Linked DNA regions of Lonchura striata. The protein of the gene in region 2 purifies or fractionates together with the protein of the main gene of each other region. This does not show direct contact. Links are inferred from orthologs where the notes say so. Each region holds a gene or a part of one and is shown on either strand. Other genes may lie near its edges.

Evidence for each region.
Region 1: the proteins of AP3M1 (region 2) and RABL6 purify together in Homo sapiens (co-immunoprecipitation; 3 studies listed by BioGRID and IntAct, counting the BioPlex papers as one, with this or other methods). This does not show direct contact. The link is inferred for Lonchura striata from reciprocal best matches to the Homo sapiens genes AP3M1 and RABL6.
Region 3: the proteins of AP3M1 (region 2) and AP3S2 purify together in Homo sapiens (co-immunoprecipitation; 3 studies listed by BioGRID and IntAct, counting the BioPlex papers as one, with this or other methods). This does not show direct contact. The link is inferred for Lonchura striata from reciprocal best matches to the Homo sapiens genes AP3M1 and AP3S2.
Region 4: the proteins of AP3M1 (region 2) and AP3B2 purify together in Homo sapiens (co-immunoprecipitation; 3 studies listed by BioGRID and IntAct, counting the BioPlex papers as one, with this or other methods). This does not show direct contact. The link is inferred for Lonchura striata from reciprocal best matches to the Homo sapiens genes AP3M1 and AP3B2.

The regions. Positions count from the first base shown.
Region 1 is NC_134624.1:5,627,824-5,635,654, forward strand, and holds the start of RABL6 (rab-like protein 6), read left to right. Parts: upstream 1-4,825; 5' UTR 4,826-4,964; coding exon 4,965-5,094; intron 5,095-7,831. Other genes in the region: protein AMBP, read left to right, coding at 332-433, 1,034-1,071, 1,931-2,009, 2,095-2,262, 2,417-2,593, 3,627-3,658. UniProt on the Homo sapiens protein: May enhance cellular proliferation. May reduce growth inhibitory activity of CDKN2A.
Region 2 is NC_134609.1:11,960,233-11,967,558, forward strand, and holds the start of AP3M1 (AP-3 complex subunit mu-1), read left to right. Parts: upstream 1-4,323; 5' UTR 4,324-4,348; intron 4,349-4,513; exon of another isoform or gene 4,514-4,606; intron 4,607-7,326. UniProt on the Homo sapiens protein: Part of the AP-3 complex, an adaptor-related complex which is not clathrin-associated. The complex is associated with the Golgi region as well as more peripheral structures.
Region 3 is NC_134613.1:24,310,387-24,317,910, reverse strand, and holds the start of AP3S2 (AP-3 complex subunit sigma-2), read left to right. Parts: upstream 1-4,520; 5' UTR 4,521-4,632; coding exon 4,633-4,701; intron 4,702-4,929; coding exon 4,930-5,021; intron 5,022-5,184; coding exon 5,185-5,296; intron 5,297-6,279; coding exon 6,280-6,351; intron 6,352-7,524. UniProt on the Homo sapiens protein: Part of the AP-3 complex, an adaptor-related complex which is not clathrin-associated. The complex is associated with the Golgi region as well as more peripheral structures.
Region 4 is NC_134613.1:7,232,125-7,239,899, forward strand, and holds the start of AP3B2 (AP-3 complex subunit beta-2), read left to right. Parts: upstream 1-4,770; 5' UTR 4,771-4,811; coding exon 4,812-4,924; intron 4,925-7,775.

The DNA.
Region 1 (7,831 bases), on a different chromosome or scaffold from region 2:
CTAGCTCTGAAGTAGCAGGAGATGCTTAAGAAACATAAAACCCACTTTGTCCAAGCCCTTGGTCAAGAACAGCAGGCTGCCCAGGGAAGCAGTGACATCACTGTGCCCAGTAGGTTTCAAAAAACATGTAGACGTGGAGCTCAGGGACATGTTTTAGGGTGGACATAGCAGTGCTGGGTCAACGGCTTGGCTCAATCTTTGCTTCCCTGATTCTATGCTGGGAAGGACCAGGAGTCTGGTGTTGCACCTGCCTGCAACCACCTGAGCTCGGTGGGTGCTTGGGGGCTGCACTCCCACACCGACCCTGCTCACAGCCCATTCTCTTTCCCAGGGAGGAGTCCGGAGCTACGGGAGGACCTCATTGAGTCTTTCCATCAGTTGGCTCTGGAGATGGGCATCCCTGAAGACTCCATCTTCATCCTGGCCAACAGAGGTAACCTCCCATGGGGCATATGCCTCTCATGCTGCCAGAGCACTCCAGGTGCTCCTTCTGGGTCTGCCAAGCTGGGGAGAGGGGGGGTGGTCAGGAGGGAGGAAGGAGAGACAAATGCATTGGTAGCATGGGATGAAAAGGAAATAAGGCCACGTATCAGGATTCTACCAGAGAAATCATCTTCCAGAGGGGTCAGTTCTGGGCTGTCAGGTCAGTGCAAACACACCATTGTGCTGGGATGAGGGCATGGAACACTTGTGTCTGGTCTCCAAGCTGGGTTCTGCCAGCACCTGGGAGGCTCCTTGCTTAGTCTGGGGTTCAGAAGGGGATAGCAGGATGGAGCATGTGTGGGGGTGTGTGTGTGTGTGTACGATTTTGGGGGAACCCAGGGGGACTGTGGGGATTTCAGGGAAATGGGCATTTTAGGATGGTGCTTCTGAGTGTGAGGTGGAAAGCAGAAAAAGGGGAGTAACATTGGGTGGAAGTGGGAGGGTGTCCCCTTGCTCAGGGTCCTGCATGTGCACAATGCTGGACTCACTGAAGTTTGTCAGGACACCTCTCCTCTCACACTGCTCATCTGCTCTCCTGCTTCTGGGTCAGGTGAATGTGTTCCTCAAGAGACTGAAAATGCTCCCCAGGTGAGTGGCCAGCTGGGACCCTCTGAAGTGGATCAAGGCCAGAAACATCCCCTCCAAGCCAAACTCACTGGAGATCGGGTGTCCAGGGAGAAGGATCCATGGGCAGGACATGTTGTTTGGGCAGTGGCTCCACTGACCATCTTTGGAGTTGCTCTTCCTCCTCTGCTGATGGGCTTTGCCTGAAGGGATGGCACAGGCTGCAGGGGGGGTGGGTCCTGGTGGCCAGGTGGGCACAAGAGCTTATTTCCAGGTGGAAGACTTTTCCTACTCTGATTTTTTTCACAGTGTGAAGGTTGCTGATGTTTCCTTGCTCCTTGCCTGTCTGTGTGTGTCCCAGCCAGGCTGTAGGCTCCTTCTCCAGGGATGGGGAAGCTTAACACCCACTGGCTCTTCAACTTCCATGACTCAGCACCTCCCAGTCTCTCATGGTTGAGTGTTGAAAGATTTTCCAGGGGGAATGAGACTTTCATAGGAGAAAAAACCCTATGTCTGGGTTGACTGAGTATGTCTAAGCTCTATGTCTGAGTCAACAAGAGTTGACTCAAGAGCAGGTAACACATCGTTGAGGCACACCCCCAGCACCAGCACGAGGCATGACTTGGGCACTTGGGGTGTCTTAATCCACAACAATCTGGGTTTGTGGACCCCACCCTGGAAGAGCACAGGGCTGGAAAGATCATGATGTGTGGAGGGATCACAGCCTGCAGACCCAAGACCAGTGACTGGAGACTTGGTGGGAGCACAGAGGAGGGTTGGAGCCTGAGGTGCCCCTGACACAGCCCACCCTCAGGACAATGGGGTAGGCAGCAGGTCCCACAGACAGGGACTGATGGCAGCTCTGTGCTTCCTTACTGTGCAGAGGGCACGGAGAGCAGTCCTACCCCTGGAGGAGGGCTCAGCCGCAGGACCCCTGCCCACTTACGTTGGCAATAAGGAAGGTAGGTCACAGGGGAGGGGGCTGCATCAGGACGCCCCTGGCCTGCACTCCCATTCCCCTGTGACCCATGGGGTGCTGGTCCACAGACTCATGCCGGCTGAGCCAGGACCCCGGGCCCTGCAGCGGGATGCTCTCCCGCTTCTTCTACAACTCCTCCTCCATGGCCTGTGAAACTTTCCATTATGGAGGCTGTTTGGGCAATGGCAACAACTTCTACTCAGAAAAGGAGTGCCTGCAGGCATGCCGGACCGAGGGTGAGAATCCCGGCTGGGTTGGGGCACTGGAGGTGCCTTTGCTGAGGCATCACAAAGGATCTGAGCCTTGCCTCAAATGCCATGTGTCTGCCATCCATGTGGGAAGTGTGGGGGTGCTTGGACCCCCCATCTCATGCAGCTCCTGTCCCTGTAGCTGCCTGCAGGCTGCCCATTGTCCCAGGACCCTGCCAGGCAGTGATGACACGCTGGGCCTTCGACGCAGCCCAGGGCAAGTGCATCACCTTCAGCTATGGGGGCTGCAAGGGCAACGGGAACCAGTTCTACTCGGAGAAGGAGTGCAAGGAGTACTGCGGGGCTCCTCAGCTGGCAGGTACTCCCCTTGCCACCCCCCCCCACCACCCCCCAGGGCAGCAGCCTGCAACAGCTTCTGTCCTGCACTGGGTCTGCCTGGGATGGGGACAGAGCGGTCCTGGTTCTGGATTGGTCTGTCCTGACTCTGGATGGGTCCAGGATGGGCCCATCATGGGCCTAGGATGCATTTGTCATGGGTTAAGGATCAGTCTGGCTCTGGAATGGGTCTGGACTGGTTTTGTGCTCTTTCTTCAATGGGTCATTCTGGGTCAGGACGGACACGGGCTGGGTTTGTCCTTGGGCTGGGATGGGTTTGTCATGGGTGTGGGATGGTTTTGTGCTGTGCCTAGGAGGGATCTGTCCTGGGTAGGGAATATGGCCATTAACCCACAAACAGTATGGCACAGTGGGGCTGGGCAAGCTGCAGACATGCTGAGGCCATGACTGAACTTTGGCATGGTCTTGATGAGAGGGGGAACGTCCACAGGCAGGTTGGGGTGCAGCGGGGAGCAGTGGAGGTGACAGACATGGGCTGAAAGACTTGGTGGTGCAGGAACCCTGACACCAACTAAGGACCAAGCCAGGGTCCCTGTCAGGGGTGTGATACCTGCCAGGCCCCCCCAGTTCCGGCCAGTGCAGGGGTTTCTGTACTGAACCTCCTTGGGAGACACAAGAGGTACCACTTATCCCTCAGGGAAAATGATGACCAGGTTGTCAGGAGTGTGGCAGAGAAAATCATCCTGCAGACTGAGGTGTCTTCCACCTTATCCAGCCCTGGGCGTGCCTACTCCCAGGAGGACGGGAGCTGGGGACTTGGCCCGACCCCATGGATGGGAGATGGAGCCTGTCCTAGGGCAGAACTCATCTTTTATAATCCCTGCCAGCAATATAAAGTACACTAATGCCACCATGGCGTGTGGTGGGACACAAAGTGGGGGACCAGCACGGGTGTGCAGGGATAAAGTGGGAAGCAGCATCCATCATCTGTGACTGCAGGGTGATGAGGGCTCTGGGGGGTCTGTCCATCACCTGCTGTGACTCTCCACTTGCAGAGGACGAGGAGTTCCTGCAGCTCTCAAACTGATGGAGGCAGAGGATGAGGGGCCAGCATCCAGCACCAGGGTCATGCAGGACAGTGCTGACAGCTGTGGCAGCCCAGGAGATACCTCCAGCAGTAAATGTCTCTCATGTGACCAAAGAGCCCAGTGTCAATCCTCAGGCTGGTGGGGAGCAGGGTGGGGGACACAGGAGGGGCAGAGGATGCTGTGGGGTCCTCTCTGGTGGGTGTCCCCATCTCTTTGGGGTTACTGGGCTCTCCCCGCTGAGTCTCTGACCCTTCCTCAGGCCACTGCCCTCTGCCCACACAGGGCTGGGGGGACACCGAGAGGCTCAGGGGTGCCACTGGGTGGACTCCAGCCCCCATTTCCCAGGAGATGGGGTTGGGCTGCTGGGAAGGGGACCAGTGTCTGCTTGTCCCTAAGGGTGAACGATTGCAGCTGTCTCGGGGTTATGGTGTGACCAGGGAGACCCGTGTGCGGCCGAGATGGGCTGCACGGGGGGTGGGCAATCAGGGGAGGGTTATATGGGGTTTGCAGCACGGGATTACGGGGTGTCGGGTAGGACCGTGAGGGTCACAGCAGAGTTAGGGGGTTTCGAGGGTCACGGGAAAACGGGACTGGCATAGGAGCAGACGACACGGGTTATGGCGGTCCCAGGGGGCACAGGGTCCCAGGAAGGGATTAGAGGTGTTTTGGGGGGAGTCCCAGGGATGCTGCCGCGGCCTCGTGAGGCATTACGACGGTCATGGATGGGGGGCTGTGAAGCTGCCAAGAGGGGATTGCGGGAGTCTTGGGGGGGCTGTGGCGGTCCCGGGGGCACGGCCGGGGTTGTGTTGGTCACGCTGCGGGGGTCTCGGGCGCGTCGGGCTGCACTCGACCCTCAGTCACGGCGGGAAGCTCCCGGGGTCGTGGCAGCGATGGCGCTCCGCGCCCTTCTGTCCCCCGCCGGCCGCCGTACCCGCGCCGCGTGCGCCCCGGCCCCCCGCGGTGAGGCGGAAGAGCCAAGATGGCGGCGGCGGGAGCCCCGCGCCGCCTCCGCTGCCCCCGCCCGGCTCCCGGCCCCGCTCCCCGGCTGGGCTGAGCGCCCGGCCCCACCGCCCCGTGCCGGACCTCGGCAGCGGCCCCACCGTCCCGCGCCGGGACATGCCCCGATAGTGCCTCCCCTCCCCCGGCGCAGCTTCCTCCTGCCGGGCCCGGCCCGCACACCTCCGCCCCGCATGGCCGGGCTGGCCCCGCCGCAGTTCTGAGCCGCCCCGTGCCTCCGCCGCGGCCGCCCGGCTCCCGAGCCCGCGCTCGGCCCGTTCCCCGGGGTGCAGGTGTGAGACCACGAAGATGTTCTCGGCCCTGAAGAAGCTGGTGGGCTCGGACCAGGCTGCGGTCCGCGACAAAAACATCCCTGCGGGGCTGCAGTCCATGAACCAGGCGCTGCAGAGGAGGTTCGCCAAGGGAGTCCAGTATAACAGTGAGTCGGAGCGCTGGGCCGGGTGGCCGGGCCAGCCCGAAGGGAGGTGGGCGGCCCTGTCTGTGCCCCCTGGGTGCCTAGGACCGCAGAGGGGCTGGGAGTGCGTGTGCTTTCTGTGTGCAGGTTGGTGCTTTTATCCGTATTCGCTCAAAGCCAGGTTTGGAATTAAATGTGGGAGGTCATTGGAGGAGTGAGGAATGGGAAACTTTCGTCTTTCGGCGCAGGACTCGGGACCCGCGGTGCAGCAGCGTCCCTGAGCGCTGCCTGCCGGCTGTGGCACAGGAGGGAGTGCCTGGTACATCAGGTTGTGTCAGTTCGAGCATCAAGAGGGTAACTCCCCTGAGTACGTGGGTGATCTTCCCTGCAGCACAGGATAATGATGCTTATAATTAAGCTGTAGTGGTTGTATGATAAGTGTCTATTAAAAAGCTCAGCCCTGCCAGGCTTCAGTAAAAGGTGGACAGCAAATACATACTTCTGTGTGCCCTTAGTACATCATTTCATCTTGGCTATCTTTTCTGCAACGATACATTTGCTCTTTTATCGAGGAACGCTTTCAGAATTCTTTTTCTCTCAGTGTTGAGGTTTAGGACTGCATTTTTCCCTTGGAGCTCAGTAAAGGTGATTTCTAGTATCGGGTTTCAGGAGGGCACTGCAAGTATGTGAAATACATCCCAAAGTAACAATTGTGAGATAGGGACAGCAGTTATGTCATTCCTGCTGAAAATAGAGCTGGTTCCAGAGAGTGCTGCAAGTACCAGCTCGTCTGTGTGGAGGCAGATTGCAGAAGGCTGAGAGATTGGCAGGTGGGAAAAAGACTGATTTGTGAATGTGGCACTGGTTAATTTCTGTGAAGGCACACATATTGGAGGAATAGAGCTTCTGTTGGGTCTTGGTCTGAAACAGAATGCAATAAAGAAGTTACACTTAGGATTTTGGGGTGTTTTTTTTCTTTGTTTAATATTATGTCTGTTGGCTTTGGGACTGAGGTTTTGAAGTGCTCTGCTTTACTAGAGAAAGCATTTGGTGCCTTTATCCCTAGCACATCTCAGATATGCCAGTGCTGTTTAATTTATAAAATTAATGTCTTAGCAAGCAATCCTGCATGAGACAAATAGAAGTGTGATTGTTGAGACTGGGTTTACAGTGAAAGATGGGGGTGAGGATGAAGGTGCTGCCTTGGAACACAGCACTGCATCCTTAAACATGTACTGGAGATCTGCTGGTCTCGACTGTTGGTTTGTGCAGAGGCTTCATGTGGCCACAGCCCAGAAGACCTGTGTGCTGCATGGGCAGCCGAGTGCCAGAGATCAGGTAGCTAATACCAGCTTGTGAATTATGTAAGAGTCAGGAGCTGGCTTCTCAGACAGGGGAGATTTGTGCTGCGGATGGAAAGGATCAGCTGCATCCTGCTGGCACAGGATGGGACCAGCTCTGCTCCATGGTGACTGCATCATGCTAGACCTGTGCATGGGCACCTGCCTGCTGTTTGTGCAAGGCCAAAAATGCTAACTGTAGCTTTGCTGCTTTTTGTCTTATTAGTGAAAGCCTCAGGAAAGATTTTTGGTTTGTGCTCTGTCTTGCCAGGACTTGCATTCCAGTTGCTGCTTTGTAGCTGAAAACCCAGCTTTCTGTCACTGCCTTAAGGCAAGCTTTCCAATCTCCATAGTAACTCTTCCCAGTGTCAGTGTTATATAATATTTATAGGAGATACAGGCTGGCTTATGAAAGTAAGGGTACCCCCCCATAGCCATAGCACTGGGGAGATGGGGAGCATTCCTATGTGAAGGAATGGCATTACAAGGGCCATTGCTCAGGAAGGGCAGAACTGCAAATCCTGTGCATTGCCACTTCTCCTTTCTTGGCAAATTCCTGACATTCAGCGGAGGAGCGCAGGATGTGATTTGGAGCCACCGTTAGCACACAAAGATCTTTACAACTCCTGTTTCCCTGAAACTGCCTAAACCTAAACCAAGGGGCGCTGTGATTTGTTTTACAGAAGTGGTTTTTTGCTGCATTAGACCACTACAGATCCTGAATGAAGCCTGTTTCCTTCCCAGAAATATACTTAGTATACTGAGAATATGTTGGGTTGTTCACTGATAGAGCAGGCTGGGACACAGGCCTTGTACCTGGCTCTGGGTGCCTCCCAGGGCTCAGAGCAGCCCCTGCTGCGCCAGCCCTGCAGTTCTCAGGTAGATTCTGTAACAGATAGCCCCCATGTTTGAGGTCGTGTTGAAGGCTGTGAGGTGTTTTAATGGCACTGATAGTTACAGAGCCTGGGTAGAATAGAGCACTAAGTTGAACCTGAATGATTTGTTTTGATGGTACCTCTCCTACACGGTCAACTTTTCAAAAGGAAGAGCATTGTGAGGTGGGAAGGTTTAGATTTCTAATGAAATTATGAGAACAGATACCAATATCAGCCTTTGGCAGCAATCATGTCCTTTGCTTGGACATTCTATTGTAAAACAAAAGCATTTCCATACTGCATTCCAGCACGCACACACTCTGTTCCATCTACATGGAGCTGCTGTGGTTCGCATCCAGTTAACACCAGAGTTCCCTGAGCACTCAGAAAGCACAGAGCTGAAAATGACGTGGGTCTGTGCCATGTATGTCATGGCTGGAATCTTAACAAGGGATCATGATTCCAGGGCTTGGGAACTAGTCTTTGTGAAAACTTCCTCTTGTTTTCTTGCTTGGGATACCCTGGATCAGGTGTGCTGCATTACTG
Region 2 (7,326 bases):
AGGAAAGAGCCTGTGGTCCAAAGAGCCTTCCCACAACCTCCTGTTTCCTCAGCTTACACACTCCCTACAATAAAGCAAGGAATTACTTCAACTAAAAGGATGAAACGCCACAGCAATCTTTCTCCAAAACACAAACACAAAACATGTTGTCATGTGGAAACATGACTCGTGCTGTGCAAAATCCCAGAGGATTACATCAAAGGCCAGGTGAAGACACTTGTCAAGGGTAATTTGAGAGTTACACATCTGAACAATGGAAACCAGTGCCTGCACTGTAACAGCACAGGAGTTTCCATGCTGCAAGTCATTCCGGTTTTGGATGTATTTCTGTCAACACAGCTTGGAAGGGAAGGTAACTGCTGTTGCATCCTAAATAAAACAAAATTAGCAACGTCTGTGGCTAGTGTCCTCAAGAGTATTTGTCTGATTTCTAAAGAAGACTAAATATTCATCTGAAGAAAAAGTCTATTGCTCTAATTCTGGGAACAAACACAGAAAAGTGCTTGAGTTTCAGCTCCTTCTTTGACCTGAGGACATTATGTGTACCAACACGGAAAACACTACCTGTGTTTGCAGATATAAGAAATAGAAAAGTAAGAAAACTATAAGCCATGAAGACAAAAACTGAAATGAATACAAATGGGGAGTAAGGTGAAATTAAAAAACAAAAAGAAACGCCCCCCCCCCAAAAAAAATACAAACCCAAACCAAGAGATAAAAGAGAGAAAAACGTTATTTACTAAATTCTAACTGAAAGCTTAGCCACAGCTAACTTAAAATATTCAAAATCTTCTTTCATTTATAAAGAGCTGATGAAAGAATAAGCTAAATTAAAAGCCAGCTTATTAAGGAAATTTAAAATGTGTGAAATTAGCAATATTTTTTACAGCCACTAGTACCAAGCTTTCTAAAATCTAGTGGAACAGTAATGACAAAAGACTGCTTTTGATAACAATTATGCACAGAGTATTTGATAATTTATTCTTAAAATGAAGAGATCTCTAATAGTAGCAGAAGAGGAGGAATACTGTACTTTTTACTTTTAGCATGAACTATTTGCCAAACTCAGTGCTTACATTGCCTACTAGATAAACTGATTTGTTCAAACAACTAGCCACGTCATGACTATTCAATCAATACAGCAGCTGCAGAACAGCCAGAAGGTCATAATGCAGCACAGGGGACTTGACAAGTTTGTGTGCAGAAGGAAAAGATGAACATGCATATTTCTATACAGACACATACATTTAAGCTCAAACATTTCTACAGAAAACGTCCAAATTCTTTCATATCTGTACCAGACTGTTAAGAGAATCTGCCTGTGGTTTTCACAGACTTCCCTAACAAAACCACATATAAAAGAACACAAATCCTTAGTAATTTTCCTCTAAAGTAACACCTCATGATGTTTCTAGTAAGTTGGTGCTACCACTCCATGACAAGCCATTTGCAGTTTTGCAAGCCCATTTTCTGTTCAAACAGTGCAGTTCACAGAGCACAGATGCAGTCAGAAGCCCAAAACAAGGCAGCACACATTAATGGCCTTGCCTAAAGCCCATTGGTTTGTAGTGGGGATTTGCAGGAGTCAATAAAGACAATGCAAAACCTGCCGCCCAGCAGATGAATGTCAGCACAACACATTGTTGAGCTGGGAATGCCAGTTTGGGTCTCGGGCTTTGTATGCTGCTCACTGGGTGGCAAAAGCCAGCCATCCTATACTGCTTTCAAACAAGTGTAGCTTCCTGAACCCAGTCAGCTTTGCCTACCTCATGAGGGAGCGATATTTGCTTTCCTTTGCCTGAAAAGATCAAAGGGGTCTAAAAATGTAACCATGAAACCTCTATGAAGCCACTTTGAGAGAAAAAATTATGAAAAAAAAAAAGAGAAAAAACAGGGAAAGGAAACCTTTGCTATTGTTGATGAGGTATGGCTTGTATTGCATTGCAGAATTAATTTTTTTATACTAAAATAGTTTTCATGGTAGTCATGGGAAAGGTTGAGGTTGATATCATATGGGAGGATAAATACGGTACAACCAGCCTTGTTGAATCCATTAGACATGGTTTTCTGAAGAGACTGGAGAGCCCCAGATCTACATATTGAGAACAAGCAATCATTCTCTATAATCCCCTCAAATTCTTGGTATAACAAGTACGATGCTATTGACCTCCGAAATTATTAAGTGATTTTTCACTTCTTTTCTAATCTATAGAGGAACCGTTTCCAAACATATCTAGCAGTGCTTTGCATTACAACTGAATCTCGTTACAAATACAGCCAAGTCATGGAACCTCGACCAGTCTGGTACCTTCTCTAGTTGCTTTTACGTCCCACAACAGCACTCAGCCAAACATGTTCTTGCCACTACATTCATATGAGTGCTGAAGTCTGCTAAATCTAGTCCAACCACCAACTGCTTCATGAGTTCAACCTGTGGCAAACAGCACACATTAGCTTTATTTGATCACCAGTTAATTATGGCATTTCTCCTCTTATGAAACAGAACTGGAGCCTATTTATACTTTGGCTTGAAATAACTTGCAACAGAATTAACATATGCAAGTTCTAACAACATTCTTCCTGTTTTATCTATCATACCTTACAGAAGTAGTATTTGCAGTTTAGTCAGTCATTACCAGACATGGTATGTCACCATTGCCTTTCATTCCACTGCAAACAACCTTTAAATTTTTAACTCGGTACACCAATAATATTCTCAGATTTGAAATTTTTCTCATATTTCATCTTAAAATGCTTTTTCCTCTAATAAACTTTATAAACAAACATTGCAGCTTCCAGTTTCTTCCCTCATCTTGCTTTAAGGAGACATGGAGATAACTGTTGCTTTTTTACTATAACCTTACCTTGCTGCATGCCATTTATTTGCTTTCAGAGCTCAGTTACATCTTTCCTCTTCTATTATCTGCAACTGAGCTTGTCAACCATTACTAAACTTGAAAAGTCACTTAGCTGCCAAAGAAGCAAGTACCCTGACTTTGACAAATTTAATAGGATTAGCTCTTTTAATAAGGACATCAGTACCAAAAAAATTGTTCTCATCTCAGGACTAAAGTACATCCCCTTTATGCTATATTTGAGTGAGTTATTGGTTATCAGTTATCGCCAAGATAATTTTGGACCTTTCAAGGCTTATGTCATTAATTCTCTTCACACACTGAACACTTGGAAGGAAGTCAGCTATCTTCCAATTATATTAATATCTGAATAATCCTGAGAAAACAAACTTGAAACTGTACCAAAAAAAAAAAAAAAAACCACCAAAACTGCTCTACAGCTCTCAGTACTCAAAGTTCTCATTTTGACTGTGCATCCTCCATTGAGAAACCTTACATTTTTCTGCTATGACATTTAAAAATAAATTACTTATGTCTGTGCAGGCCATCATTCAAATGGGATTCAGCCAGTGCTATTGTACTGTGATCACAGAAATGAGGAAGTATAGCAAATCGCACAGATTATTTCAATATGAAGATATTTTAAATTATACGGTATGTCTTGAAGAAAATGTAACTGTTAACTCGGATTTTCAGTTTCCTATCTAACAGGGACAGAGACACCCTCGCGAGAGTATTAATCGGGGTATTTTATATTCAAAGGGGAGGCAGACGCAGTGACAATCCCAGCTGTGCTCTAGTACGGGGCCATCGTTGCGAGCAGCGTTCCGTTTTACCGCAACCCATCCAGACTCTCAGCAGCCCATTCGCACCGACCGACCCGACCCCAGGGCACAGCGCGACCCCCGCGCCGCCCACCCGCCCCTGCCTCGGCTGCGGGGAGCCCAGTGCGGCGGCGCCCCCGGGCACCCGCCGGGCCCGGGCAGCGGCACCGCAGCCGCCGGGGCAGCGCGGCGGGACGGCCCCGCCGCCGCCTGCACGTGCGCCCGGTGCCGCGGAGGGGCCGCCCGCGCCCCCGCGCGCAGCCCGGCGCGGCGGGACCCTGCCGCGGAGTGCGACCGCTCCGCGGAGGCGGCACGTGTCTCGCCCTCCGCCGGGAGTAGCACCAGCGACCTCCGGCACCCGCAGGGATTGCTGGCGAAGCAGAGCCCGTCCCGGCGCCCGTTACCTCAGCTGCTTCTGCTCCAGCTTCAGCTTCTTGGCTTGCGGCTCCCCCGCTGCCATCTTCGCGCTGGGCGGCGTGCGGCGCGCTCCGCTCCCCTCGGCCCGCCCGCCGGCCCCGGCCCGCCCCGCCGACCGCGCCGGCACCGCCACCGGGGGGCGGGGGCGCCGGGACGAACGTACGGCCGCGCCGGGCGCCTGACGGGGCGGGGAGCGGAGCCGGACCGCCCGCCGTCCCTGCCCAGCCGCGCGCTGCCGCGGCGCCGGCCCGGGTGGGTTTAGCGCCCGGGGGCCGCTCCCGTCTCCTGCCGGCCGAAGGGGCCGAGCGGTGCTGACCGGCGGCGAGGGGCGGCCGTGGCAGCGGGGCCGGCGGGCCCGGGGAGCGAGGGGGCCGTGCTCGGGCGCTCGGCGCAGGCAGCGCCCCGGCCGGCCGCGCCTCCGCCGGGGGGCGGCCCCGCGCCGCCGCCGGGCCTCGCCGCCATCTTGGCCGCTGTCCCGGGAGCGGGACGGGCCGTGCCGGGCCGGGGGAGGTACGTGGGGCGCGGGGGGCCCGGGCCGTGAGGGAGTGGGGCGGTTCTGTCCGTGCCCGGGGGGACGGGATCCCTGCCGGGCGGGAGCCGCCCGTGCCCGATCCCGGTCGCGCTGGTCGGCCGACGCCGGGCAGGGGCGACATCCCCGCCAGCGGCGGTACCGGGAGGCTGCCCTGCAAATCCGAGACTTCCCGTTTTGTTCGGTGCCCATTTAAATACAAAATCGTCGCCGTGTTCGAGTACCATCCCCCACGCCGTTGTTCTGGGCTGCGGCGGAGGTGCGGAACCGCCCGGCGGAGCGTGCAGAGGCGGTAGCGGCGGGGTGCAGCGCTCACGCTCCGCCGTGAGGCGCAGGGCCGTGAGGGGGACCGGGCAGCGCGGGGCCTGCAGCGGGGCGGTGCGGCAGCCGCAGCCACGCCGGGCCGGGAGGGGCAGGGCGGGCCGGGGAGCGGCGCCGGCTCACCTGGGTCGATCTTCAGCAGCCCTGCTGCAGCCGTGGTGTTTCTACTCCAGCTGTAACCGCTTAATTAGCGAGGGGCCCTGTGAGTGCGGATCTGCCTAATATGCGCTGGGAATAAACGCGTTATCATCCATCACTATGCGCTGCACATCGCTCCCGCCCTGTTCAGTACCCAGCGGCAACTGAGTAGAGGTTGTCGGTTCTTTTCTTTTGTTTCAGTTCAAATCTGCTGTGAATTAGTAATGCACTTACCGTCTTTTCAGTATGATGGATCGTTCGTACCCATTAAGTGTTAATCAAACTGGAGGAATAGCATCACTATTCAGTGTAGCTCTTCTATAACCAACCAGACAAAAAATCATACTTGAATGATGAAAATTTTTGTTCATAGCAGGCAGACTGCAGTATGGGAGAGGAAAAGGTACTTTACAAGAAAAGCAAAACCAACTTCAGTTACTCATGCATGAGGTAAAATGATGGAAACAATGTTTTACAAAAGAACTGACTGTGACAACCATGAGAATGATTTTGCTGTGGCAGTTCCCGGCGGGTTTGAATCATACATAGCTTCTCATTTATTTATTGAAGAGAAAAAAAAGAGAAGATGAAATATCTGAATGATATTGCTCTGTAAAACATCTGTCATATTGCATGCTAACTCAAAACAAGCAAACTTGGGGTTTTTTTTGGGGGAAAGAGGACAAATAGATTCCTTGCTGCCTGTATGCACATATCTGAAAATTCCTTGCAAATGGCAAATCAAACTTGATGAATAGCCTATGCCCTCTCATGTTTGATTTTGCTGGTTTTATTCAGAAATTAAATTTTCTGTTGTGCAAGATCAGCTAAATCCCAATTATTCTCTCATATAAAGATCTCCTTACATGAGGAATCTTTAATAAAAACCTTGTCATGAGGATTCAGAAAAGAGAAATTGAAGTCCTGGAGGTAGAGAAGTCTGAACAGTAGGAGATGAGTGGTGACTGTATTTTATGGCTGTAATAATGGCAATAAATTAAACAAATTATTTTTTTTAAGTGTTAAGTTCCTTCCTTTTATATCCATTTATTTTATCTCCAACTTACAGCTTCACATATAACTTCAAAAAATTAATACAACGAAGATAAGTTGAATCTTTTTTATGCTTATTTAACATAATGTATGAAAGGCAGCCTTTTAACAGGAACTTCTTAGAGTATTCATGAGATTCATTCATACAAGATAAAATAATTAGGGGGGCTGCTTTGCTCTGTCCTCTTGGAGGAGAAGGAAGTGTTTATGTGCCTTCTTTCTGCCTTGTGTTTGGACTGGCTGGGGCAGAGTGCACACACATTGGGAAGGGCTGTCATGCACAGCAGAGTTCCAGTGATGCTTGCTGGCTCTGATGGAGTGTTCCAGTAGTGCATGGCTCTCTGGCACTGTGCTTGTCCTTTCTGGAACCTTGAGTGCCTCTTGAAAGAGAGCCTGTGAAACACAGTAGTATAAAGCTAGGAGCACTGTTGTTCTGGCCTGTCAGACTTACTGGAGGAGTGAACTGGGTGAGCATGGTGGAAAACATCTTCACAAAGAGTTGCTGAGTTGGGGCTTTGATATCCTATGACTGAATCCTTCTGCCTTGTCCATTCAGAGTTCTTAATGGTTTGGCTGGAATATGAGCCTAATTATATTCCCGAAAATATTATGGACAGTAAATATGTGACATGAGACTCACTTTATCTCTGTCCATTTGGCCCTATCTGTCTATTCTACTGCTTTCAGAGAGTGAATTTCTTAAATCGTCCGTTAGTAGTCCTAAACCTACTGATTCAGATCTAAGTAGTGTTCAAAATGTTCCATTTCCATGTAAAAATGTAGTTTTAGCAAGGAATTTGTAATTGTTTTGGTGTGGGTTTTTTTTCTAAGAAACTCTAGCTTTTCCAGCAAAGCTTTCTATTCTTACAGGTCCCAAAGGGAACTGCAGCTATTCAGGATCTAATATTGTTCGATTATTCAGAATCTAATATTGTTCTGTTGATAAGAGATGGAACTCTCTTGCCAGCAGTTAGAAGATTTATACTGGAACTAAATTGAACAGAGGTGCCATGCAAGTGTGTTATTGGAAAGCTCATCAGACAGTAGATTAAATGCTGCACAAATTCTCATGCAGGCTGTAATTGCTACTGGTGAAAGCACAGAGGAAACTGCATATTTTGTTATGTCTACCAAACACTGATTTGAGTCAACTTTTGACTATTCTCAAAGGACTACTTCCTTTTAAAAA
Region 3 (7,524 bases), on a different chromosome or scaffold from region 2:
TGCCAAGGCTGAGCCCTTTGGGAAGGGCTCAGGGGGACCATGACTTGCTGAGGACTCTAGCCACAGGCAGCACAGGGGATGGGACTGGGCACTGTGGCACATCACATCCCGGCCATCCTGCAGCGTTCCTCCAGCCCCACCGTGCCACCTTCATGGCACACGTGCCCTGAATTTGGTATTCGGGGCATTCCAGGAGCTGCACCTGAGCCAGGGAGGTGATGGGGCTAGGGAAACCAAACCTGGGAGTGCGTGGCAGAGGGCAACAAACCCAGCAGGAAGCCCGCTCGACACAGGGCTACCCCTCACCCCAGCACTGGCTCTGGCCTGCAGCCCCAGGGACGTTCCCAGAGACTGGGCTGAGCTGGAGCTGACTTCTCCACAGGAATAACTAAAACACAGGAGTGCTGGCAGCCTCTCTCTCAAGGTTGTGATGCTGGCATGTTCCTGGCAGTACAAACCTACTGCTTTGTAGATTCCTCAATATTCCCAGCCGGAGAGCAAAGCCTGACAGTGCCTGCGCTCCTCCCTCTCCACACCGCGATTCCTAAACTAGTTGATAAATGAAAATGGCCCAATAAAACCACCCAAAACAAACACTCTCTTGGGGATTAAACCAAGCCCAAAATGCCAACGTGCTGAGCTGTGACCCCACCATCAGAGGTGCTCCACTCCCACGGCTGCGGGATCCACGTCTTACCCCACGAGTCACCCCCAGGTTTGGTGGCAACGTGTCCTGGGCTGCAGCAGAGCTTCAGCTATTTCCCGTTTTGGAGGGACACAGTGTGACCCATAAAGAGGGCACTGACACAGAGCTGCTCACAGGAGAGGAGCTGGGCCTGGGCGAGGGGGACGTGCCTGTTCCCTGGCAGCTCCTGCAGTGAGGACACTGTCACCCAGGCTGGCAGCAGGGCACGGCCACAGCCCGGCCACGCTGCCCCGGCTGCTGCTCCCCACGGCCCCCAGGCACTGGGCACCCTGGCAGCTCCAGGGCGAGCGCCGAGGCTGCTGCCTCCCTGCGACCCCTGCAGAGCCAAGCCTGGAGTCTGTCTCCAGCCCAGGCTATATTTGCTTAATCCTGTGGCCAGCCTGAACGGCCGCAGGACCCAGCTGTGCCGTGTGGGACCCACAGCCCGTGGGGCCTGTTCAAACCCCGGCCACAGAAGTGACCAAGGCAAGCCTGGCAGCATGGTGTGGGCACAGAGTGTGGCATGGGGCACAGGAGGGGGGTGTGGGGCAGAGAAGCAGGGTGTGGGGCACAGGAGCGGGGTGTGGGGCACAGGAGTGGGGTGTGGGATGTGGGGGGCTGATGGAGCTGCAGTCTTTGAACCTGGGGTGGGGTCAGGCTCAGTCTGGTACAGGTCAGGCTCTGGGCTGCCCCTATTCCCCCTGGTCACCCTTCTCTTCCTACACAGCTGCTCACAAGAAAAATCCTATGCTTGACTAATTAATTAATAGAACTAATTTACCCATTACACGCTGTTATGACCAGAGCTGTGGAGGGCTCTCACACGGCTCCCCTTGGTCCCTCGCTTGGGCGCAGAACCAAAGGCCCCCCCAGCCCTCTCGGAGCCGCCTCGGAGCACCGGGAGGTCCCACACCGGGACTTGCCGGTGCTCGGGACCGAAGGTGGGGCGGGACCCGCCCGGTGCGGGACCAGCCCACCCGGTCACCACCGCTGCACTGCGCTCCCCGGAGCGGACGGGCGGACCCCAGCCGGGACCCCTCCCGAACACCAGGAAACTCCCCAAACTTCAGCACGGCGCTCGGGGACCGGAGCCCCGGCGCGGCCCGACCCCGGCCCCGAGCATCCCTCCCCGCGCCGCCGCCCCCGCCCGCAACAGGTCAGGGCCCCCGCCCCGCGCCCTCCCCGCAACTTTGCGGGCCCAGAAAGTTTGCGGGCGGCCGCGGGGAAAGTTCTCGGGGGCTGCTGGGGAGCAGGCACGGAGCCGGGACCCCCGGTCCGCCCCGCTCCTCCCGGTCCCTCCCGCCGCCATCGCTCCCGTCTCGGTGGCGCGGGGCAGGAAGGCGGCGACACCGCGGGGTCCCCGCTCCGGTACCCCCGTGGGAAGCGGGGAGGGTCGGTGGGCGTTCGGGGCCCGGCGGGGACTCACCGGCGGCTCCGCGGGGCGGCGGCGGCGGCGGCGGCTCCGGGCCCGGCGCTGGGTGCGCAGGAAGGAAGAAGGAGGGAATGAGGCAGGGCTGACGTGAAGGGATGCAAAGCAGCTCCTCCTAACTCGCCCGCCCTTCATCTTCCTCCCCCTCCTCAACTTGCCCGACCACCGCGAGCCGCCCCCCCGCTTCAGCAGCACCTTCCACCGGAGCCGGGGCCGCCCTCGGTACCAGTTTGGGGGCTCAGTGGGGGGACTGGCGGTGGGAGTGGTCCCTATGCCCACGCTGTCCCTGCCTTATGTCCCCCCCGGCAGCACAGGGGTCGTTTTCTACCTCACCCTTCCTTCTGGGGGCTGTGGCCCCACGCAATGATGCCGAGGAGGGGATGACCTTCCCAAGAGACCCACATCCAGCTGGGCATCGCTCTCCTCTGCCACGGGGGTGGGAAAGGTCATGGGCACCCCAAAAAGCTTGTAGGGATTGATGGCAAGGACTCCTCTCGCCACGAATGGGATGAGAGGAATTAGGGATGTTGCAGGAATTGGAGGGTTTGGGGAGGGATGCTGTTCACCCACACAAACAGGCGGAGGGAAAGGCCGCGGTAGGGTGGGAGGAGGTGGCCGGAGGAGGCAGTGAGATGGGATGTGGCATGGGAAAGGGAGCAGGTGATCAGGAAGTTGGGGGGTTTGGGGAAGGGTGTGCTCCTGGCTTCCCCGAGAAGGCAGAGGGAGAGGCTGAGCTACGCAGCTGTGGGGATGTGGAGGCAGGAGGCCACTGCTCCCCAGAGGGAGGGACGGGGGTGAGATGTGACTTGGGAGGGAGAGGGGGTGGCAACCCTGCAGGCTGCAGGCTTTGGCTCCCATCGTGAGGAGGAGGAGGAAGAGGAGGAGGAGGAGGAAGAGGAGGGTCTCCTCCCCACAGAAGAAGGAGCATGCGGAGGCAGCCGTGACTCGGGAGATTCTCATCCCCTTGGAAGCAGGTGGCGCCGGCCGGGCTAATCGCAGCAGAGTTAGTCTCCACACGCAGTCCTTTGTCTGGGCTCACTTCTGCTTTTCGGGGTTTTTTTTTGTGTTCGTGGCGAAAGCCGAGCTCCCTGCTCCGTCCCCGCTGCCCTGCTCACATCTCCCGCGCGTGTCCGGGGGCCGCCCAGCATCCCGTCACGTCCCAGCCCGGAGCCCTGCGGAGCGCGGGGCCGGCGGTGCCCCCGGCGGTGCCCCCGGCGGTGCCCAGAGCGCCGCTTCCTCCGCGCGTGCCCCGCGGCCTGGAACGGCTCCGCCGGGGCACAAGCGCCGCCGGCAGTGACGGGGCGCGAGGAGGTTCGCTGCCCTGCATTCCCGGGGCTGCCCCCGCCTCCGGCTGTGCCTGCAGCGGGCACCGGGCGGGACCCGGCTGGGACACGGGACGGGCAACAAAGCAGGGCACAGGGCGGGGAACCGGGCGGGACACGGAGCGGGGTGCACCGTGTGACCCGGAGCGGGACCGGGACCGGGAGCGGGACCCGGAGCGGGGCCGGGCCAGCCCCGGCACCGCCGGCTGCCGGGGAGTCGCGGCCCGTCCGCTCCAGCCAATCAGGACGCGGATTCAGAAGGCCGCGCCCAGTTCAGCCAACCAGAACGCGGATTCAAGAGGATGCGGCCATCCCGGCCAATTAGAGCGCGGATTCAAGAGGCTGCTGACTCAGCCAATCAGCAGGCGGATGCCCGCGGCCGCAGGCGCCTCAGCCAATCAGCACGCGCGGTCCCTGCGCTGGCCGCCGTTCCTCTCCCGTTCCCTCTCCCGTTCCCTTCCCGTTCCTCTCCCGTTCCTCGCAGCCCCGCGGCGCGCACTGACCCTTCTCTCCCGGCCCTCGATGTCCCCCGCCGTGCCCGGCGGTCCCGAGGAGCCGTGTCCGTACCCTCTCGGTAAGGGCCCGTGGCTAGCGCCCGGTGCCACGCGGGATTGCCCCGCCCTGTTCTCACGTTACTGCGGGCCCTGGCCGGTGTGTGCCCGCGCTGGGCGGAAGCGGGACCGGGCAGTGGCCGGTGAGCTCTGCCCCCGCCGGTTCCCACGCGCTCGCCCCGTCCGGGCACACACCCTTCAGGGTGCCGCTGGCCCTTTAAAAGAAGGCGTGGTCTAACACAGCCCCGCCCCCTGCGCGAGGCGCCGGTCCCGGCGGGGCTGGCGCGCCCCCTGGCGGCGCGCGCGGGAAGCGGCGGTCCCGGTGTTCCGGTGGTCCCGGGGTCCCGGTGTTCCCGGCGGTTCCGGTGTTCCCGGCGGTCCCGGTGGTCCCAGTGGTCCCAGCCGTCCCCGCGCGGGCAGCGGCCGCCGCACCCTCCAGGCCTGCCCGTCTGCCCCGCCGGGCTGCGAGGAGCGGCCGAGCCCTTCCCGGCGGCAGGCCGCGGAGCCCCCGCCTCGGAGCGGCTTTGATCGCTGGCGCGGCCCGGCGCTCCGCAGGGTCACCCCGGGCTCAGCCCGGCGCAGCCCGGTGCGCTTCCGGGGCGGCCGAGGGGCTTCCTGCGCTACGGCCGCGGTGCTGCCGCCGGGATGATCAACGCCATCCTCGTCTTCAACAACCACGGGAAGCCGCGGCTCGTCCGCTTCTACCAGCACCTGGTGCGCCACCGGGGCCGGGCGGGGCCGGGGCCGCCGCTGGGGCTGCGGCGGAGCCCGAGCCCGGTGCGGGAGCGGGAGCGGTGCGGGGCGGAGGGGCCGTGGGGCTCGATGGGCGGGGGGCGTCCCGGGAGCGGGGCGGTCGTGCCGCTGCCCTGTCGCGTCCTTCAGGGTGCCCGGGTCACCCGCGGGTGGCACCGGCAGTGCCCAGCCACCGCGTCCTCCCGGCAGGCAGAAGAGGTGCAGCAGCAGATCATCCGCGACACCTTCCACCTGGTGCTGAAGCGCGATGACCACATCTGCAACTTCCTGGAGTGCGGCAGGTACCAGCGGTGCCCCGGCCCCGTGCACCGGCAGGTACCGGCGGTGCCCCCGGGCAGGTACCGGCGGTGCCCCGGCCCCGTGCACCGGCAGGTACCGGCGGTGCCCCGGCCCCGCGTGGGACCTGGCGTGCCCGAGCCTGCAGCTGTGCCCGTGTCCCCACAGCTTGTTTGGCGGCTCGGACTACAAGCTGATCTACCGCCACTACGCCACGCTGTACTTCGTGTTCTGCGTGGACTCCTCGGAGAGCGAGCTGGGCATCCTGGACCTCATCCAGGTGCGTCCCAGCAGGGCCCGGCTTCCCTGCCAGCCCTGGCACCATTGGGGGCGTTTTGTGGCCCTGCCAGCCCTGTGCCAGCCCTTCTGAAAGGCCTGAGGAGCCCTCGGGGCCGTGCTGGGGATGGGGGCTGCATGTTCTCCCTGAGCTTCCGCGTGGCTTCTTCACCTGGGAGCAGCAGGGAAGGCAATCTGAAGGAATGTCTTCTAAAAATCAAAGCATGGGATCATTTAGGGTGGAAAAGACCCTTGGGAGCACCAAGTCCAACCATTAATTCTAGGATTCTGCAATCCCAGGTTGGAAGGGACCTCAGGGATTGTCTCATCCAGCCTTTCTTGGCAAAACATGGCCTAGACAATTCCCAACACCCTGCCCTGTGAAAAATACCCAGTGCTGGGGAATCCCTCACTTCCTCATGGAGATTATTCAACGGCTGTGTCTTTGGAAAAAAATTTTCCTCTTGAGCCTTAAGAGGAACTTGTACCCATCGCTCTGTGTCTTTCCATATGACTCCTAGTGTTAAAGGAGTTTCCAGCTTCGTAGCCACCCTTTAAACACCAGGATACGGGAAGAAGGTGCCCCCTGAGTCTCCTTTTCTCCAGGATGAGCCCCTTCCTAGCTCCCTCAGCCTCTCCTGTGGCTCCGGCCCCTTCCCAGGTCTGATCCCTTCCCTGGACACGCTCCAGCCCCTCCAGGTTTCTCTTTTTGGGAGAGGCCCAGAGCTGTCCCAGCACTGGAGGTGTCCCAGCAGTGCCAGCCCAGGGGACAGGCACTGCCCTGGGCCTGTGCCCATACTGGGGCTGACACAAGCCAAGTGCCATTGGCCTCTTGCTCACCTGGACGCACCTGGGCTGATGTTCAGCCACAGTCACCAGCATCCCTAGGTCCTTTTTTAGCTTTCTAGTCACTCTGCCCCATGCCTGGAGTGTTCCATGGGGTTGGCGTGACCATCTTGCCTGGTGTGGTGTCTGTCTGCTGCCCAGGTGTTCGTGGAGACGCTGGACAAGTGCTTTGAGAATGTCTGTGAGCTGGACCTCATCTTCCACATGGACAAGGTGGGTGCTGGGCTGGGGCTGGCCAGGAGGGTGTGGGGATGGCAGGGGTCACTGGGAGGGACGGGGATCCTGTGTGGGAAGTTTCAGCCCGTGTCCTTTGGAAGCCCCTGACGTTGTGACCTGCCAAGGAGAGACCCGCGTGCTGGGCTGCTCTGAGCCCTGGGGCTGCCCCTGTGCTGCACAGGCAGCCCTGCTGGAGCTGGGCAGACTCTGGCCTGGCGCTGGGGCGCTCTGCCTCTGCTCCAGCTGTGACAGCTCAGGAGTTAACATTTTACTACAGCTGCTGGGAAAAAATGGGAAGGAACAATGGGAGTGTTTGGAATTCAAAGTGCTGGGTAAACTTTGGTTTGAACCACAGCCTGTAATGCTTCCTCTTGAGCTGGATGGAGATCCTGGGCGGGAACCGTCCTCTTTGATCATGTTCTGGATCTCAAGGCTGAAGATAGCTGGGAGTAGATAGCCAGGAATAGATTTGGAGGAGGGAGAGGCTTGGCTGAGGGCGCTGGGCTTGTGTTGCTGTTGGTCAAGATTTTCTTGCTTTGCTGGAGACAAAACATAGAACAAAAAAGAGCACTGGGAAAAAAAAAAAAGGTGCAAAATGCTCCCTTTCCATTGATGATTCCAGCTGGGGAACTGGCAGGGAAGGGGAGTGAGCAGGTCTGGGGCGCTGTCTGCATTAACAGCTGCTGAGGTTGGGTTTGGTTTCACTGTTTGCCCTATTGCAAACTTTCCAAAATGCCACAACGAGATTTTCTTGTCAGCAAAAGTGTTTATCAAAGGAGGAAGGAGAGTCAAGCAGCTGTGGGAGAAGTGTTGGCAGCTGCCCAGGTCACCTCTGCCCACAGCTGGGGGAGGATATGCTCATGGGCACTGACTCTGTGGGATGGGCAGGACTCAGCAGTTTTTCACTCAGCCTTACTCTCAGCTTTGCATGGGCTTTGCATGTAAAACACTGAGCCCCATGGCCAGCCCCAGCCCTTGGGCAGGGCACATCACACCTTTGCCAGCAGCAGTGGGTCACCCTTCTTCTGGCCCCTCCTGACAGAAGAACATTCTCAGGAGATGGGGGTCGGGGTTTCTGGTAGTGGAGACCCCAGCTCGGTCACCCCGGCTTTCCCAGCCCTTCCCATCTGGTGCTCCTGCTGCTTCCCAGCTTCGACTCTTGGCCATTAT
Region 4 (7,775 bases), on a different chromosome or scaffold from region 2:
GAGCTGATGTGGGATGGAAAGGACATGATGGGGACCAAGAGGCAACAACAAGGATCAGGAGGGGGTGATGGCAACAAGGAGATGAAGACTGGGAGGAAATAATGAAGTTCAGGAGGGGACAATGGGGATCTGGATGTTTTGATGGTGACCCAGAGACAATGACAAATGTGAAGAGCAGGAGGTGACAGCAGTGACCGGGAAGGGATGATGGAGACCAGGAAGGTGTGACAGAGATCATGAGGGGGCAGTGGGATGCAATAGGGTGAATGGAGATCATGATGGGATAGTAAGGACTGAGATGGGATGATGGGGACTGGGAGGGAATGAGAGGGAATGGAGGATGGGAATGAGAAGGGTGTGATGGGTACATGTGGGCAAGATAACAGAGACCAGGAGAGGATGGTGGAGTTTAGAAGGGGGCAAGACCAACAAAAGATGACATGAAGTTCTAGGAGGGTGGCTGTGGCACTGGAGGTGGCTGGGAAGGGTTAATTACTGCCTGCACTGAGCTGGGTCCAGGCCAGGCTCAGGTTTCACCTGTAATTAGCTCTTGTTTATTGGAGGCTCCTTGATAAATGATTCTTTGGAGGTTGCCCGATGACAGAGGGTGACAGTCACCCACCTGAGCCCTGCTGAAGCCTTCACTGACCCCTGGCACCAGGATTAAAGTTTAATGTGACTCGGGAGCTGACCCCGGGCATGCACCATTCTGGGGTGACAGGGCCGGGGACAGGCTGGTGGCCATTCCTAGGACAAGGGGCTGGGTACAGGCTGATGGTCTCACAGAGCCAAAGGGTTTTGGCACCGAGAGGTGATTTGTCATAAGCCTGGTGGTCAGTGGTTACCAAAGCATGGTGGCCACAGGGCTGTTTCCTGACTCCTTTGGGGTCACCCAAGAGGTCTGTGGATGAAATGTCACACCAGGTTGGGTTTGTCCCCGTGGGACTGGCCCTTTAGGATGGGCAGAGTGCCACGGTGCAGCCGGTCCGGGCACATTCCCAGGCACCGGTGGAGCCATGTGCCGCTGCCAAGAGCCACTGTGGTGCTCGAAGGGGCGGGCTGAGGTCCTGCCCTGCAGCCACCTTTGGAGCAGCAGCAGCTTGGGAAACACAGTGGAGTGAGGGGACCTTGGAGGTGCCCCCAAGGTGAGGCAGCAGGGCACAGAACGAGCCCCGAGGCTGCAGCTTGGGTTTTAGAAGGGTGACGTGTCACCACAGCTGTGGGGACAGAGAAGTCTCCAAGGTATGGGTACCTGCCCCCAGCTCTTGGGACATCATGTTTTCTGCTTGCAGATGAATCTCCTCGCCCAGGTAAAGGGGAAGCCAGCAGGAAGGACACCTGCATCCAGGTGATCCCACCCCCTTGCCATAGGACCTGCCTGGACCTGGATCTGGGCCAGGGTGGGGGGGGGGGGGGGGTTTGTGGCCTGGGAGGCTGGGCTGGACTGGGCTGGGCTGTGTGCTGGCAGAGACACGGGTGGTGGCAGGGGATGGGTGTCAGAAGGGGACAGTTCCCGTCTTGCCCTGCCTCCTCTCCCCACAGGTGAGCTCCCTCCTTCAGACCCTGCAAGGCCCGGACTGGCTGTTCCTCCAGGCCTGGCACTGGCTGGGCTCCTGGGTACGGCAGGTTTGGGGGTGCTGGCATGAGAATCCCAGTCAGGTGCTTGGGCAGGGGGTGGCAGCAGCCCAGGCTAGGGCTGAGCCATGACACAGATGACACTGGGGCTGATGCAAGGTGTTTGTCCCTCCAGGTGAGCAGTTCCAGGCAGGTAAGTGCTGGCATTGCCCCTGTGCCCTGAACTGCCTGTCACAGCCCTGGCACAACTGGGCTGGATGCTGCACACCCTGCCTTTTCCTTGGCACCCATGGGTGCTTCAGCACCTCGAGGGGGCAGCCCCTTCCCAAAGGGTTTCCATCCATGGAGGCCAGAGACCCAAGCTGTGCTTAAGCCACCAATGATGTGGGATGAGCCAGCAGGTCAGTGATACTGCTGGTGTCCCCAGGCCACCAGTGGCCCTGAAACATGGCTGGGTCCCCAGGCAGTGACTGGGGCAGTGACCACGGCAGGGTTCTTCCTCTGCGAGGGGCTGCTGGGACAACACTTCAACATAGTCCCCAACGGGGTGGCTGAGCCCCAGCCTGGGGACCTCTTCCTCTTCCCGCTGGCCTCCGGGGGCCCTGGCTGGTGGGGTGCCCATGCTGGCATCTACTGCGGTGACGGCGAGATCATCCACCTGGAAGGTGAGCCCCAGGAGCTGTCATGGCATGGGGACATCTCCATGGAAGGGACATGGGGTGCAGAGTCCACTTTGCCCTGCAGGCAGCTCAGGGATGTCACCATCAGGCGTCGTGGCTAAGCACGGCAAGAGCCACCTCCTACGGACACGGGGCCCAGCCAAGGTGCTCCGCAGGAAGGGAGGGCTGGACGTGGCTGCCCTGCAGCGACGGATCCGGGTGGCCATGGACCAGCCAGTGGAGTACGACACCGTCACCTGCAACTGCATCCACTTTGCTCTTGCCCTCCTGGGGCTGGGCCACCTTGCTGGTGCCATGGTGGGTGCCACCACTACATTAGGTACCACCACCCTGGGACATTTTGGCACCTGCTCAAGCCAAGTGTCACCAAACCTCTTCATTTTTCCCAGGTGTCCCCAGCGCTGCAGTGATGGAGGTGACGGTGCTCCTGGGGAACATGTGGGGCTGAGTACCCTCCCCTGGGCACCAGAACTGCACCAGGGATTTGTCAATCCTCCTGTGTGGCAATAAACAGTTGCATGGAAACCCTGCGCCAACCCTGCTTGATGTTTTCTCACTTTTCCCAGAAGCTGCTGCCAAATGTTGTCCCACCTTGACGGGAGAGGCTGCTCTTTGCTCCCCATGGCCTCCTGAGACAAACATCTGCCTCTTTCACTGCTAGCATTTAGTTTTGAGCATAAAAATGTATATTCCATGGGCTGCTGGGTTGAAAATGGGCCAAAAGGCTGGATCAGGTCTGTCCAGAGGCTGGTGGTGTACCTCAAGGGACAACTCTGTGTCCAGTCCTGGTCAACCTCTTCATTACTGATCCAGTTGATGAGGTAGAGTTTATCTGCAGTGAGGGGGAGTGAGTCACCAACCCATGGTGATGCTGGCACCCCTGGAGTGCTGCGTCCTGTGCTGGGCTCTCCAGCATGAGAGAGACAGGGACACACTGGAGAGACACCATAAAGGGCCACCAAGGCTCTGGAGCATTTCCCTAGGAAGGGAAGCTGAAAGAGTTGGGGTAGTTCAGCGGGGAGAAGGGAATGTCCAGTAGGATTTTATCAGTGTTTATAGGGGGAAAAAAGGGGGAAGTCAGGCTCTTCTCTATGTCTCCTGAGGGTTGGGGTCTCCAGGAGAGCAGCAGGGTCCCCAGGGAGGTCTGAGATCCCAGCAGGGTTGGGGTCCCTGGGAGGGCTGTGGGGTCCTTGGGAGGGCTGGAGTGAGTGTGTCTCTGTGCTGAAGATTAATTGCTGTCCATTAATTAGATGCTTTATTCAATTCTCCTACTTGAACCATGGCCCTTTTCCCTCACTGCCTCACTCCTGTGGGATGGGGTGAATGCTGCCCCATCCACACAGCTCCAGGACCAGTTGCCTGGAGAAACAACAGCAGAAATATCTGCCAAGAGTATAAAGTACCTGGGAAAAATCAAAGAAATGCAAACAAAATCTCAACTATAATAACATCAATAATGATATCTTATTATTTATATAATTTATAGTAATGTAGTATATAAAAATATATATGAAATATATTAATATGCATAGTCATGTCTACAATATTTGTATTTGATGTCTGTAGTATAGTTAATATATGATCATATATCTAGTATATAATTCCTATCATGTTATTGATAACAATATTAAATATAAACTATAATATCTATAACAATAAGAATAATATAAATTAATATCATACCTAATATATATAATAATTCAGATATCATACATCACATATGCTATCATGTGGACTATAGATCATAAAATATTGAATTTTATCATACAGTAGATAATACATAATACACAACATAATCTGCAATATAACATAGCATAACATATTGCATATATAACCTATTGCATATATTATATCATATATATAAACTGTAGAATGTAGAATGGTTTATGGATTGTCTATAACATAGTATGAATATGGCAAATACATAGTAGTGCATAATTAATGAAATATATAATATAATATAGTGCAATGTAATAAATAGCATGCAATATATAGTATACAGTATGCAGCATGTAATAGAATATATAAATTATATGTAATATATAAGTAAATGTGTACTATGTATACTGCACACATTATTGCACATAAAAGAATAATTTATAAAGTAATAATAAAGTGTAATATGGTAGGATATACATATTATAACATCCGAACATATAACATTCTTTACTGTAATGTAACCTATTTTAAATACGTCTAATTATAATCATACACAATATTGTCTATTGCTATATAATGATAGATTTTCATGATTCTGGACGGGTATGTGTGCGGCTGTGAGCTCAGTGCCAGTCACTGTATCATAGCTATGTGCCCAGCATCGCTCCTCCTAGAATCGCCCGTGTCCCGCTCCCGGAGCTGTGCAGGTGCGGGGGCCGCGCAGGGACCCCCTGGGGCAGCGATCTGCCCCTGCGCTCCCGTTCCCGGTGTCGGCGGGGAGCGACCCAGCCGGGCGCTGCCCCCGGGCGGGGGCCGGGGCCGGGCCCGTCCCCGCCCGCGCTGACATCAGTTCCCGCGTCCCCCCCGCATCCCGCATCCCGCATCCCTCCCGCCGCCATGGCCGCCAGCCCGGCCTACGGCGAGGAGAAGGGCGGCTCCTCCAGCCTGGGCGAGCCCGAGTACGGCCACGACCCCGCCAGCGGCGGCATCTTCTCCTCCGACTACAAGAGGTGGGGACAATGCGGGCAGAGGGGACAAGGACGAGCCTGCCCGCGCGGCCGCCACTGCAGGCCTCGGCCGCCGTCCTCGGTACCCGAGCCGGGGATGGAGCGGCCCCCGGCGCGGGGACGGGGACAGGGACGGGGATGTGGATAAGGATGGTGATGGGGATGTGGATAGGGGTAAGGACGAGGATGGGGACAAGGATGGGGCAGGGAACGCGGTCAGGTCGCCGCCACCGTCATTGCAGGTTGCAAAGGCCGGAGAGGGTGGGAACACCGCGGAATTTTGGAGATGCTGCGGTTGGGGGAGGTATGAGGGGATGCCCCTTGACCCTCCCACCCTCGGGCTGGGGTATCCCGGGCACGGTGTTCCCACCACCGGGTCTGCTGGCTCCTGTGGTTCTCCTGAGCTGACACCCCCCCATCGCATCGAGGCTCCCGGTGGGTGGCAGGGGGATGTTGGATGAGGATAAGGAATGTCACCCTGCCGTGGGACAGTGGGACACGCTCCTGAGGGGGGCGCAGGGGTGAAGAGAAATGGGGGAGGTGTTCTCCTGGAGCTGCAGGAATGTATTTTGGCCCTCCCTACTGTGTGTGTCCCCCACTCTGGCACTGTCCCCCCCGTCCCTGCTGCCCCAGCAGGAAAGCACTGAATCACTGTCTGACAGCATCACGCTCTCTACCCCTGGCTCTGTCCCCCAGTCCAGCAGTGTCTCCCCATCCCTGCCCTATGGTAGTATCCCCCCATATGACAATGTTCCTCCAGTCCTGATTCCCCGGCAGCATCCCGCACCTTGAATGTGTACCCCATCCTGACCTCTTGGCAATGTCCCCTGTTTGGGAGTGTCCCCTCTCTCCCTGTACTCCTCCCTAATGCTGCAGTGTCCCCCATTCTGGATGTGTCCCTGATCTGTGATTTCCTGGCAGTGTTCCCATCTCACTGGGTCCCCCCTCCCTGAATCCCTGGCAGTGTCCCTTTCTCTCTGATACTCTGGCAATGTCCCCCAGTATGACAGTGTCCACCCAGAGCCCCTGGCACTGTCCCCCACTCTGGATGTGCCCTGCATCCATGACCTGAAAGAAGTATCCCCATCTCATGGTGTCCCCCATTTCCTTATCCATTAGTAGTGTCCCTTGCCCCTGTCTGGCAGTGTAACACTCCCTACCCCTGGCTTTGTCCCCCAGTATGACAATTTCCCCCAGCCCTGATCCACTGCCAGTGTCCTCCAGTCTGGCAGTGCCCTCTATCATGACCCACATCTCAGAGTGTTTGTCCCTCCCAGGAACTGCTGGTAGTGTCCCTCAGTTTGTCCAAGTCTCCCCCTCTCTGACTTCTCCTTGGCAATGTCTCCCAGCCTGGAAATGCTTCCCTGCTCCCATGTCTGCCAGTGTCCCCTGACCCCCACTGGCAGTGTCCCTCACTCTGGAAGCATCCCCCAGCCCTGACACCCTGGCTGTGTCTCCCAGTCGGTCCCGGTTACCTCAGTGATTTGCCATCAGTGCCTCCCACTCTGGCAGTGTCAGCACCCCCACGGCAATGACCCCTTACCCCTGACCTCCTGGCAGTGTCCCCCACACTCACAGTGTCCCTCACACCCATAGTGTCACTATAATCTGCATGCTGCCCTTTGCCAGGGCCATACCAGATCTATCACCACTCCTGTGAGCCATCCATGGCATCCATGTAATATGTGGCAAGATAAATGCACCAAGTGTGACCCCACCACCCAGCTGAGACACCCACAGGTGCCCCATCATGCCACCCTACCACCCAGGCAGAGTGTCCCACCATGATGTGCATTCCCTGCCCAGGACTGAGCCACTCAGCCCTGGGGAAGGAGCTCCCTGCAGTGTCCCCAAGTCCCACCTGCAGGTCAGATGTCACTTTGGACGTGACATCCCAAGTTGGCCTCATCCACTGGGAGTTGCATCCTGATCTAGGCTGCAACCCAATCCCAACCACAGCATCAGGTTTCAGCCCACTGTGCTGGGCAGAGGAGCGGGGCCACAGCCCTGTCACCATCCCCAGGGCCACTACCGCCAGTCAAAGCTATGATGTCCTTGCCGCCAGTGCAGAAGCTGCTGCGGCAGCTGCCGGTGGGGCCAGCTGGCTGGCCGAAAACACCAGAGGGTGGTGGTGTGGCCGAGGAGGTGACAAGCCCGGTGCTGGCCACCGAGGCTGGACAACCCACCTGCTACAGCGCCCTGCGAGCTGATGAGCTGCGGCCACTCGCCGGCACCAAGCCCGCAGAGGACACTGGCACTGGGCCACCGCCGCGGTAAGACTCCCCCAAGAAGCACCCCCAGGACCCTCTGGTGATGGTGGCTCTGGACGAGCATCATCCCATGGGTGTCACCCTCAGCTGCTGCAGGTAGATGCAGCCTTGCAGGTGCACCCAGTTTAGGGGGGGACCAGTGTCCCTTAGGAAAGAGGATAATGGTAACAACTTTAAAAAAGGCTGATGGCATTTTCACAGTCCAGGGAGGGGACTAAGGAAGGACTTTTCATCACGGTGTGCTGGCACATTCATGCCACTATGTCCATGAAGTGGGGGACAAGGGACACCCAGCCATGCCAGGATGGAGCTGGTGATGGGCACCTGTGGTTTAGGGACAATGTAGGGTGACAACCACAGCCAGGATGGAACCGGGTTCTTGTCCCAGTGCCTGGGATGAGGATGGCACTGGGTGCTAGCACCATGCCAGTCCCTCCGGTTCCTCTTTCACCTGGCTGTAACCCAACTCCTGTCCCCATAAATATTTAATAATGAAGGGTTGGATTGCCAGCCTGATGGAAGGCTGGGAGCAGAAAAAAAAGACTAAAAAACAGGCAAAAATGTGAAAATGGGAATTTTTTTCC